Linked DNA regions of Canis lupus familiaris. The main gene of each other region encodes a partner of the protein of the gene in region 2 in a complex. Links are inferred from orthologs where the notes say so. Each region holds a gene or a part of one and is shown on either strand. Other genes may lie near its edges.

What was found.
Region 1: the proteins of STAT2 (region 2) and IRF9 are in contact, whole or in part, in a crystal structure (PDB 5OEN), measured with the Mus musculus proteins. The link is inferred for Canis lupus familiaris from reciprocal best matches to the Homo sapiens genes STAT2 and IRF9. Residues at the interface, in NP_064347.1 of Mus musculus: Arg163, Gln164, Lys166, Asp167, Glu168, Asp170, Val171, Phe174, Arg175, Thr177, Val178, Phe179, Leu181, Lys182, Asp188, His190, Gln191, Gln193, Gln194, Leu197, Thr201, Lys204, Met208; in NP_032420.1 of Mus musculus: Leu206, Leu208, Tyr212, Leu233, Asp234, Arg236, Ser244, Glu245, Ser246, Ser247, Met248, Asp270, Arg271, Leu274, Val275, Ala276, Asn278, Ser279, Arg280, Phe283, Val284, Gln285, Leu287, Cys313, Glu315.

The regions. Positions count from the first base shown.
Region 1 is NC_049229.1:4,280,192-4,282,884, forward strand, and holds the end of IRF9 (interferon regulatory factor 9), read left to right. Parts: intron 1-190; coding exon 191-532; intron 533-1,381; coding exon 1,382-1,497; intron 1,498-1,656; coding exon 1,657-1,785; 3' UTR 1,786-2,112; downstream 2,113-2,693.
Region 2 is NC_049231.1:1,011,012-1,015,394, reverse strand, and holds the start of STAT2 (signal transducer and activator of transcription 2), read left to right. Parts: upstream 1-1,571; 5' UTR 1,572-1,689; intron 1,690-1,758; exon of another isoform or gene 1,759-1,974; intron 1,975-3,813; 5' UTR 3,814-3,897; coding exon 3,898-4,028; intron 4,029-4,180; coding exon 4,181-4,334; intron 4,335-4,383. Other genes in the region: APOF (apolipoprotein F), read left to right, coding at 1-570. UniProt on the Homo sapiens protein: Signal transducer and activator of transcription that mediates signaling by type I interferons (IFN-alpha and IFN-beta).

The sequences.
Region 1 (2,693 bases), on a different chromosome or scaffold from region 2:
CCCCTGGCCTCAGAAGATGAAGCTGCTACCCCTGTCCTCCCTTGGCTTCTCTCGCTGGACCTCACGTTTCTCATCAGCAAAATGAGGGTGTGGGGTTCTCGAGGAGCCCCTCCATCCCCCAGGCCCTGGGGCTGACCAGGCGGACCCCTCAGGTGAAGCACAGGGGCAGCTGGTGGTTCTCTGTCCACAGACTACTCGCTGCTGCTCACCTTCATCTACAGTGGGCGCATGGTGGGCAAAGCCCAGGTGCAGAGCCTGGACTGCCGCCTTGTGGCCGAGCCCTCCGGCTCCCAGTGCGGGATGGAGCAGGTCGTCTTTCCCAAGCCTGACCCTCCAGAGCCCACCCAGCGCCTGCTGAGCCAGATCGAGAGGGGTGTCCTGGTAGCCAGCAACTCCCGGGGCCTCTTCGTGCAGCGCCTCTGCCCCATCCCCGTCTCCTGGAATGCACCCCAGGCCCCACCTGGCCCAGGCCCACATCTGCTGCCCAGCAATGAGTGTGTGGAGCTCTTCAGAACCACCCACTTCTGCAGAGGTGAGGCTGTTCCAGCTGAGCTGAGCCCCTGGCTCCTTGTAGCCCCGCCCTGGGACCTGATAGGCTCTGCCACCACCCTGTGTTTCTGCCAGTAGATCCCTCATCACAGCTGATGTGTGGCACCCTGCCCTTGCACCGTGCACATCCTGTGGGGCCCTGTGCTCCGCCCTGGCAGCTGTCTGGCAGCCACCCTTCCCTAGTCCAGGCCTCGGAAGATGAGGCTCAGGTGGAGCTCAGCACACATGTCACGTCTCGGGGACTGCCCCCGCCTGGCAGCATGCAGTGATGGGAGGTGTGCCTGCTGGGCCTCTCCCGCACAGGCTCCCACACACACCCTCCCCCTATTCACCGGCCCTGCCACACTCCGGGCAGCTCCTCTGGTCATTCTTCTCCCATCCACTTCTGGAATTCTACTCCTGCCTCCCTTCACCTGTAAATCTGGCCAGGAGTGTAGGGGACACAGAACGGGAGAGTTCCAGGGCCGTGGGTGCCCTTGGGGGGGGGGGGGGCGGTGAGCCAGCAACAGAGTGGGGTACCTCTGTGTCAAGCAGACCCGGCTGCCAGGAGGACTCTTAAGTTCTCCAGCAGAGAGCTTGCAGATCGTATAAAAATCAGTTACCTCAAAGTATTATTCGAGGAAGGGGCGCCCTTTGCTGTTTGCACATGGGAGTAGCAGCTTAGTTGCCACCGTTCCTCCTGGCATAAGGCAGCCGCCTCACAACCCTGCGGCTCCAGTTCTGGCCCCACAGCCATCCGTCTTTGTCCATGGTGGGCCCCTCTCGGTCCCCTCCCTGCCTGTGGCCCCTGTCTTCTCTTTCTTCTAGCCCTTAACCCTTTTTCCTTCATCAGACCTGGTCAGGTACTTCCAGGGCCTGGGTCCCCCACCTGAGTTCCAGGTGACACTGAATTTCTGGGAGGAGAGCCCCGGCCCCAGCCGTACCCCAAAGAGCCTCATCACGGTGCAGGTGAGTTCAGGGCAGGGGAAGAGTAGGCTAGCCTGCCCCTGGAGGGCGTGTGTTGGGGTGGTTCCAGCAGGAGACGGGGCCTGGGGGGAAGACCTCCTAGGGTAGTGTCTGCTCTTGGCTGTGCTCCTGACAAGCTCTCCCCCACCTTCTCTGGCACAGATGGAGCAGGCCTTTGCCCGACATTTACTGGAAGAGACTCCAGAGGAGCAGTCAGCTGCCGTGTCCCTGCTGCAGAGCCTGGGAGACCCTGCTTCCTCCTCTCCTCTCTCTTCCTCCTATCTGCTTTGAAAGAGACTCATTCTCCACGCTGTTGGCCTGCCTCCCTCGGTGACAGTTCTCCGTGGTTGTCTCTGACAGCTGCGTCCTTCAACTGCTCATGTACCCGGCTGGTGGAGAACTCAAGGATGATCTTTATACCCCCTGTTTTTTGTTTTTGTTTGTTTGTTTTTGTTTTTTTGAGATACACCTTTCATTTCTGAGGAACTGACCTGGGAAAGTCCAAATGGTATGAACTCAGGGGACCTTTCCCTCTTCCCCCAGTCCTAAAGCCAAGCACTTTACATTTTCTTCTTAGATGTTCACTAGGGATTTAAAATAAAATTTTTTGAAAGAGGAGTCAGTATCTGCTTTGTTGGGATGAAAAGGTAGCAGGGGTCACAGGGAAGTGAAAGAGATGTAAGGTGAGAGTGAGTACTTGGGTTCTCTTCCTGCTGACCTCTCTGGGCCCTTTTCATCTCCTCCACCGGCAGGTTCTGGCTAGGACGCTGTCTGGGCTCTGTGGGTTCTGGGCCTGGGGAGAGGGGAGAGGTTAGCCACCCGGAAGAGCACAGCCTACAGCTGCTGTAGCCACCAACCTCACGCGGAAAAATCTGGGCTCTTCTCTTCTTGGCTAAGGCCTCCGATTCGGGCCTTACAACAGGCTTAGGGTTGGACTCTGGGCAGGAGTTCTAAATGAACAGGTGAACTTGGAAGTTGCCCTCAAATTCTGGGCTACAAGCACTGGGGCCTGGAATGGGCGGCAGAATCAGAGGGAAGAGCTGCTGAGCCTCCTGTGCTGAGGGAGACCAGGCCCTGGCACCTCTTCTCCCAACACATGGGGTGCTATCCTCTCAATGGAAGGGACTCCCAAACTGTTTTCCTTGCTCTACCTAAGCCCCATAGAAGACCATCTGGCCTAGGCTGCAACGTCACCCACA
Region 2 (4,383 bases):
CAACTTCAGCTGTACCGTCAGGGGGGTGTAAAAGCTACACAGATCCTCATCCGACATCTTCAAGAACTCCAGCAAAGGAGAAGCACGGGAAGGGCAGTTTCCATGGATGCCCTGGCCTCTGCTCTACAGCTGTTGGCCAGGGAGCAACCAGGCCCAGAAAGGGCTCGACGCTCCCTTCCTATCAATGACTGTGAGCAGGAGCAGGAGGAAAATGTGCATAATGTAGTCCGGTTGTTTCCAGTAGTGGGAACCTACTACAATCTGGGCACAGCTTTGTACTACGCTGCTCAGAGCTGTTCAGACAAGGCCAAGGAACGAGGCCAAGATGGGCTCGTAGACATGGGTTATGACCTTCTGATGACCCTTGCTGGATGGTCTGGGGGACCCACAGGAGTACTAATCAGCTCCGCACTTAAACCTGCAGTGAAGGCTGGGATTCAACAGTTGATCCAGTATTACTATGAGCAAGAGGCCAACACGGCTCTGCCAGTGATCAGCAGGAAGGCCTTGGGGGGTATCTCAGATGTGGGTGACCTAGAAGAAACAACTACCACGGTGCTTTGGTATTAGTTCAGCTCTCTTATTAGTTTAGGGTTTATTTAATAACTCTGACTTAGATGCCGGAAATGGTAGTCTTGGGATATAAAAGGTGGTGATCACAGAATGAATAAATCTAATATTTTGACAAGCTGTAATGTATATGTGTTCAACATCGAAATCCCTGGTTATCAGGGAAGAAGGCAATGCTCTAAAATGCAGGGATTTTAAAGTCTGGGGTTTGGAGTCAGAAGATTTGGATTTGAATCCAGGCTTCACCTGTAGGAGCCTCAATTACAATTCTTCTCCACACTCAGTTTTTAAAACATCTAAAGTAGATAAATAAAATATGTACTTAAAAAAATAAAATAAAATAAAACATCTAAAGTAGAGGCGTGGGACGCCTGTTGGCTCAGGTCGTGGTCCTGGAGTCCTGCATTGGGCTCCGCATGGCGAGCCTGCTTCTCCCTCTGCCTAGGTCTCTGTGTCTCCCATGAATAAATAAAAATCTTTAAAAAGAAACAAAACGTCTTAAGTAGTGATAATCATTTTCCCTGGATGGGTTTTGTGGAAATTAAAAATGATACAAGGAACGTCAGTGCTTAGCAAGGTACCATCAGTAAACGGTTATTTATTGGCACAGCTCGTCGCTTCCCGCCCCAAAGAATCGACATTCCGGGCCCCTCCGGGAGCGCTGGGAGCCTGCAGCGCCCCGGGCCGGTCTCGGTTTCGCTGCCGCCGCGGGGATTCTCGGAAATCAGCTGCGGCGCCGCGCGGCTGTTCCGTCAATGGGACTCCTCCCCTCCGGGGACGGGGGCGGGGCGTCCTTGAGCGATCCCACCAATCGTGGGGCGGGAGGTGTGGTCTCGGCGCCGCTGGTCCCGCCCCGCGGGGGAGGAGTTGTGGCGACGCCAACGGGCGGAGGGCACTGGCAGAACGGCCGCCAGCGTCGCGGTTGCCAGGCTGCGCACGGCGAGCTCCCGGGTTCAGCCGCGCGTTCCAGCCCGCGGGCTCCGAGGGGGCGGGGCCGAGGAGCCGGGGGCGGGGCCGGGCGGGGCCGGGCGGGGCGCGCGGGGGGCCCCGAGCTCCCTCCCCGGGCCGGAAGCCTTTCCCGGAGCGGCTGGACGGAGGGGATCCTGAGCCTCTCGGCAGGTACGGGCCCAGGGGGCCGCGCGGGGCCGGGGTGCGGGCGCGCGTCGCTCCCCGGGGAAGGCGGCAGGCCCTGGGGTGCGCCCGCTCGTCGTGAGCCTTCGTCTCTAAGTCGAAATAGCTGTCCCCTGCTGCGTGAGCGAGTCTCCCATCCAGCCCGGCCGCCGGCGCTGACACCCGGCTCCCCAGACGCTCCCGGCAGCCTCGGAATCCCTTAGCCAGCGCCTTGACCCTCCGGGCTGTGTTAGGTTTGATTCTCGCCAAAAAAAGAAAAAAGGATGTCTGAAGGTAGATACGATTTCACTTCCTTCACTGTTATCTTACGAAGTGTAAGGGGCAGCGCAGCCCGGTGGCTCAGCGGTTCAGCGGCGCCTTGGGCCCAGGGCGTGACCCCGGGTCCGGGCCGAGCCCGCGTCGGCTCCCTGCATGGAGCCTGCTTCTCCCCTGCCTGCGTCTCGGCCTCTCTGGGTGTCTCTCATGAACCAATAAAATCTTAAAAAAAAAAAAAAAGCGTAAGGGACAGAAAGGTGAAACAATTTGCCTAAGGTCACACACAAAATGCAGTCCTTTTCCAAAAAGCTCATTGAGCAAAAAATGTATGCCCAAGAGAGTGAGGGATAGCTGGGGGAAAAGCGTTACAGCCTTTAGGCCTCGTGTTTGCGGTCTGTTTTGGGAAGACCATGCTTTTTTGTTTTGTTTTCTCATATTTAAACCTTACGGTTAACTTGCCACCTTGCTCTTTTCATAACAGTCGAGATTCCTTCCTTAAGAAGTGGAGACTCTCCATTTGTTTTTTTAAAGCAGTACAGGTGCATAGATTTCAAAGCCAAGCACTAGTAAAAGCATTAAAATGAAAAATAGGAGTCCCTGACCAATCCTTTCCTCCCCGTTTCTACTTCAAAGAGGTAGAAAAGCATCTCACGATTATTCATACTGACGGAACACAATCTCTCCCACCCCAGACATTTTTCTTTCATTGGTGATAAGATCATGTCACCTTTTTTGGACCACGGATGTATGTAAATACTCTTTTCTGTTAGGTTTAATCTTCAACAAGAATAGGTTTTGATTTCCTAAGCAGGCAGTTGGCAGGGGGCGGGGAAAGAGAGGAAGAAAGATTCTTAGCCCAGCCTACTTGGTAGCAGGCAAATACCAGGTTTGTTTGTTTTTTCAAATACCAGTTTTGAGTGAAGTTTCATGGTGAAAAAACAAACAAAAGCCTCTGCTTGAAAAAAAAAAAAAAAAAAAGCCTCTGCTTTCTTTGCCCAACCCTGCCTCTGTGGGTGGGGGGGAATTTCTGGGTCTCTCACAAAGTTGATAATATACATGAAGAGTCAGAGGTTGATAGAGGTCTTAAAAGTATCACAGTCTTAGAGATTGAGTGACCTCCTTGTAGAGTATTTAAATATTTGTGTTTTTTTTTAAGTATTTAAATATTTGGAAAAAAAATAAATATTTGGAAGGAAGTCTCTCCTTCCTACATGGAGAGCAGATTGTTAAGGTTTCAGCCCTTGATAAAGCTTTGGGACCATCAGGGATCATGCTGAAATAAATATTTATAACCCATTTATGATCTTGAAATGTTCCAGCATAAGTAAACACGAATACAAATTTAAAATAAATTCACTGGGGGAGATAGATGAAATTAAGATGGTGGAAATATTAATGTTTAGTAAAGTTGAATGATGGGTAAATGGATGATTCTTGTACTATTCACTCTACTTCGGTGTGTGTTTGAAAATCGTCATTAAGGGACACCTGGGTGGCTCCGCAGTTGGGTGTCTGCCTTGGGCTCAGGGCGTGATCCTGGAGACCCGAGATTGAGTCCCACGTCGGGCTCCCTGCGGGGAGCCTGCTTCTCCCTCTGCCTGTGTCTCTGCCTCTCTCTCTCTGTGTCTCTCATGAATAAATAAATAAATAAAGGCTTAAAAAAAAGAACTGATCATTAAAACAAAAAGGCCCACATATTGCAGCTCCTAAATAGTACTGTCTGAAAGAATATGAACTAAACTGATAATATTGGTTACCTGTGGAGAGAAGAGGAAGAGACCAACATTAGGAGTGAGATCAATGTAGCTCCAGTTTTCTTTTTTTTCGTACCTTTATAATTAATTTTTTTTATTATAGTGATAAGCAATCATGAGACTGTGGATGATTTAGTCCAGCAAAATTTCCAGTTGGGAACGTGCATCCTTCAGACTCAGACCCCAAATGGCGCAGTGGGAGATGCTACAGAATCTCGACAACCCATTTCAGGATCAGCTGCATCAGCTCTACTCAGATAGCCTCCTGCCAGTGGACATTCGACAGCACTTGGCTGTCTGGATTGAAGATCAGAACTGGTGAGTTCCTCAGGAAGTGGGGTGTGGAAAGTAGTTTCTTCTGAGCCCCCAGGATCCTGGAGACACCAAAGTTGTCTAGAAGGGGTTAGGAGGCCACAAAAGACAGTAGGAACGCTGCAGGGATACTAATCCTTGTCATTCCTGGTCCCTAGGCAGGAGGCTGCCCTGGGCAATGATGATTCCAAGGTGAACATGCTGTTCTTCCATTTCTTGGACCAACTGAAGTATGAGTGTGGCCGCTGCGGCCAGGACCCTGAGTGCTTTTTATTACAGCACAACTTGCGAAAATTCTATCGGGACATTCAGGTACTTGGAGGAGCCAGGAATGGCCAAAAAGCTGAATATAAAGGAAACT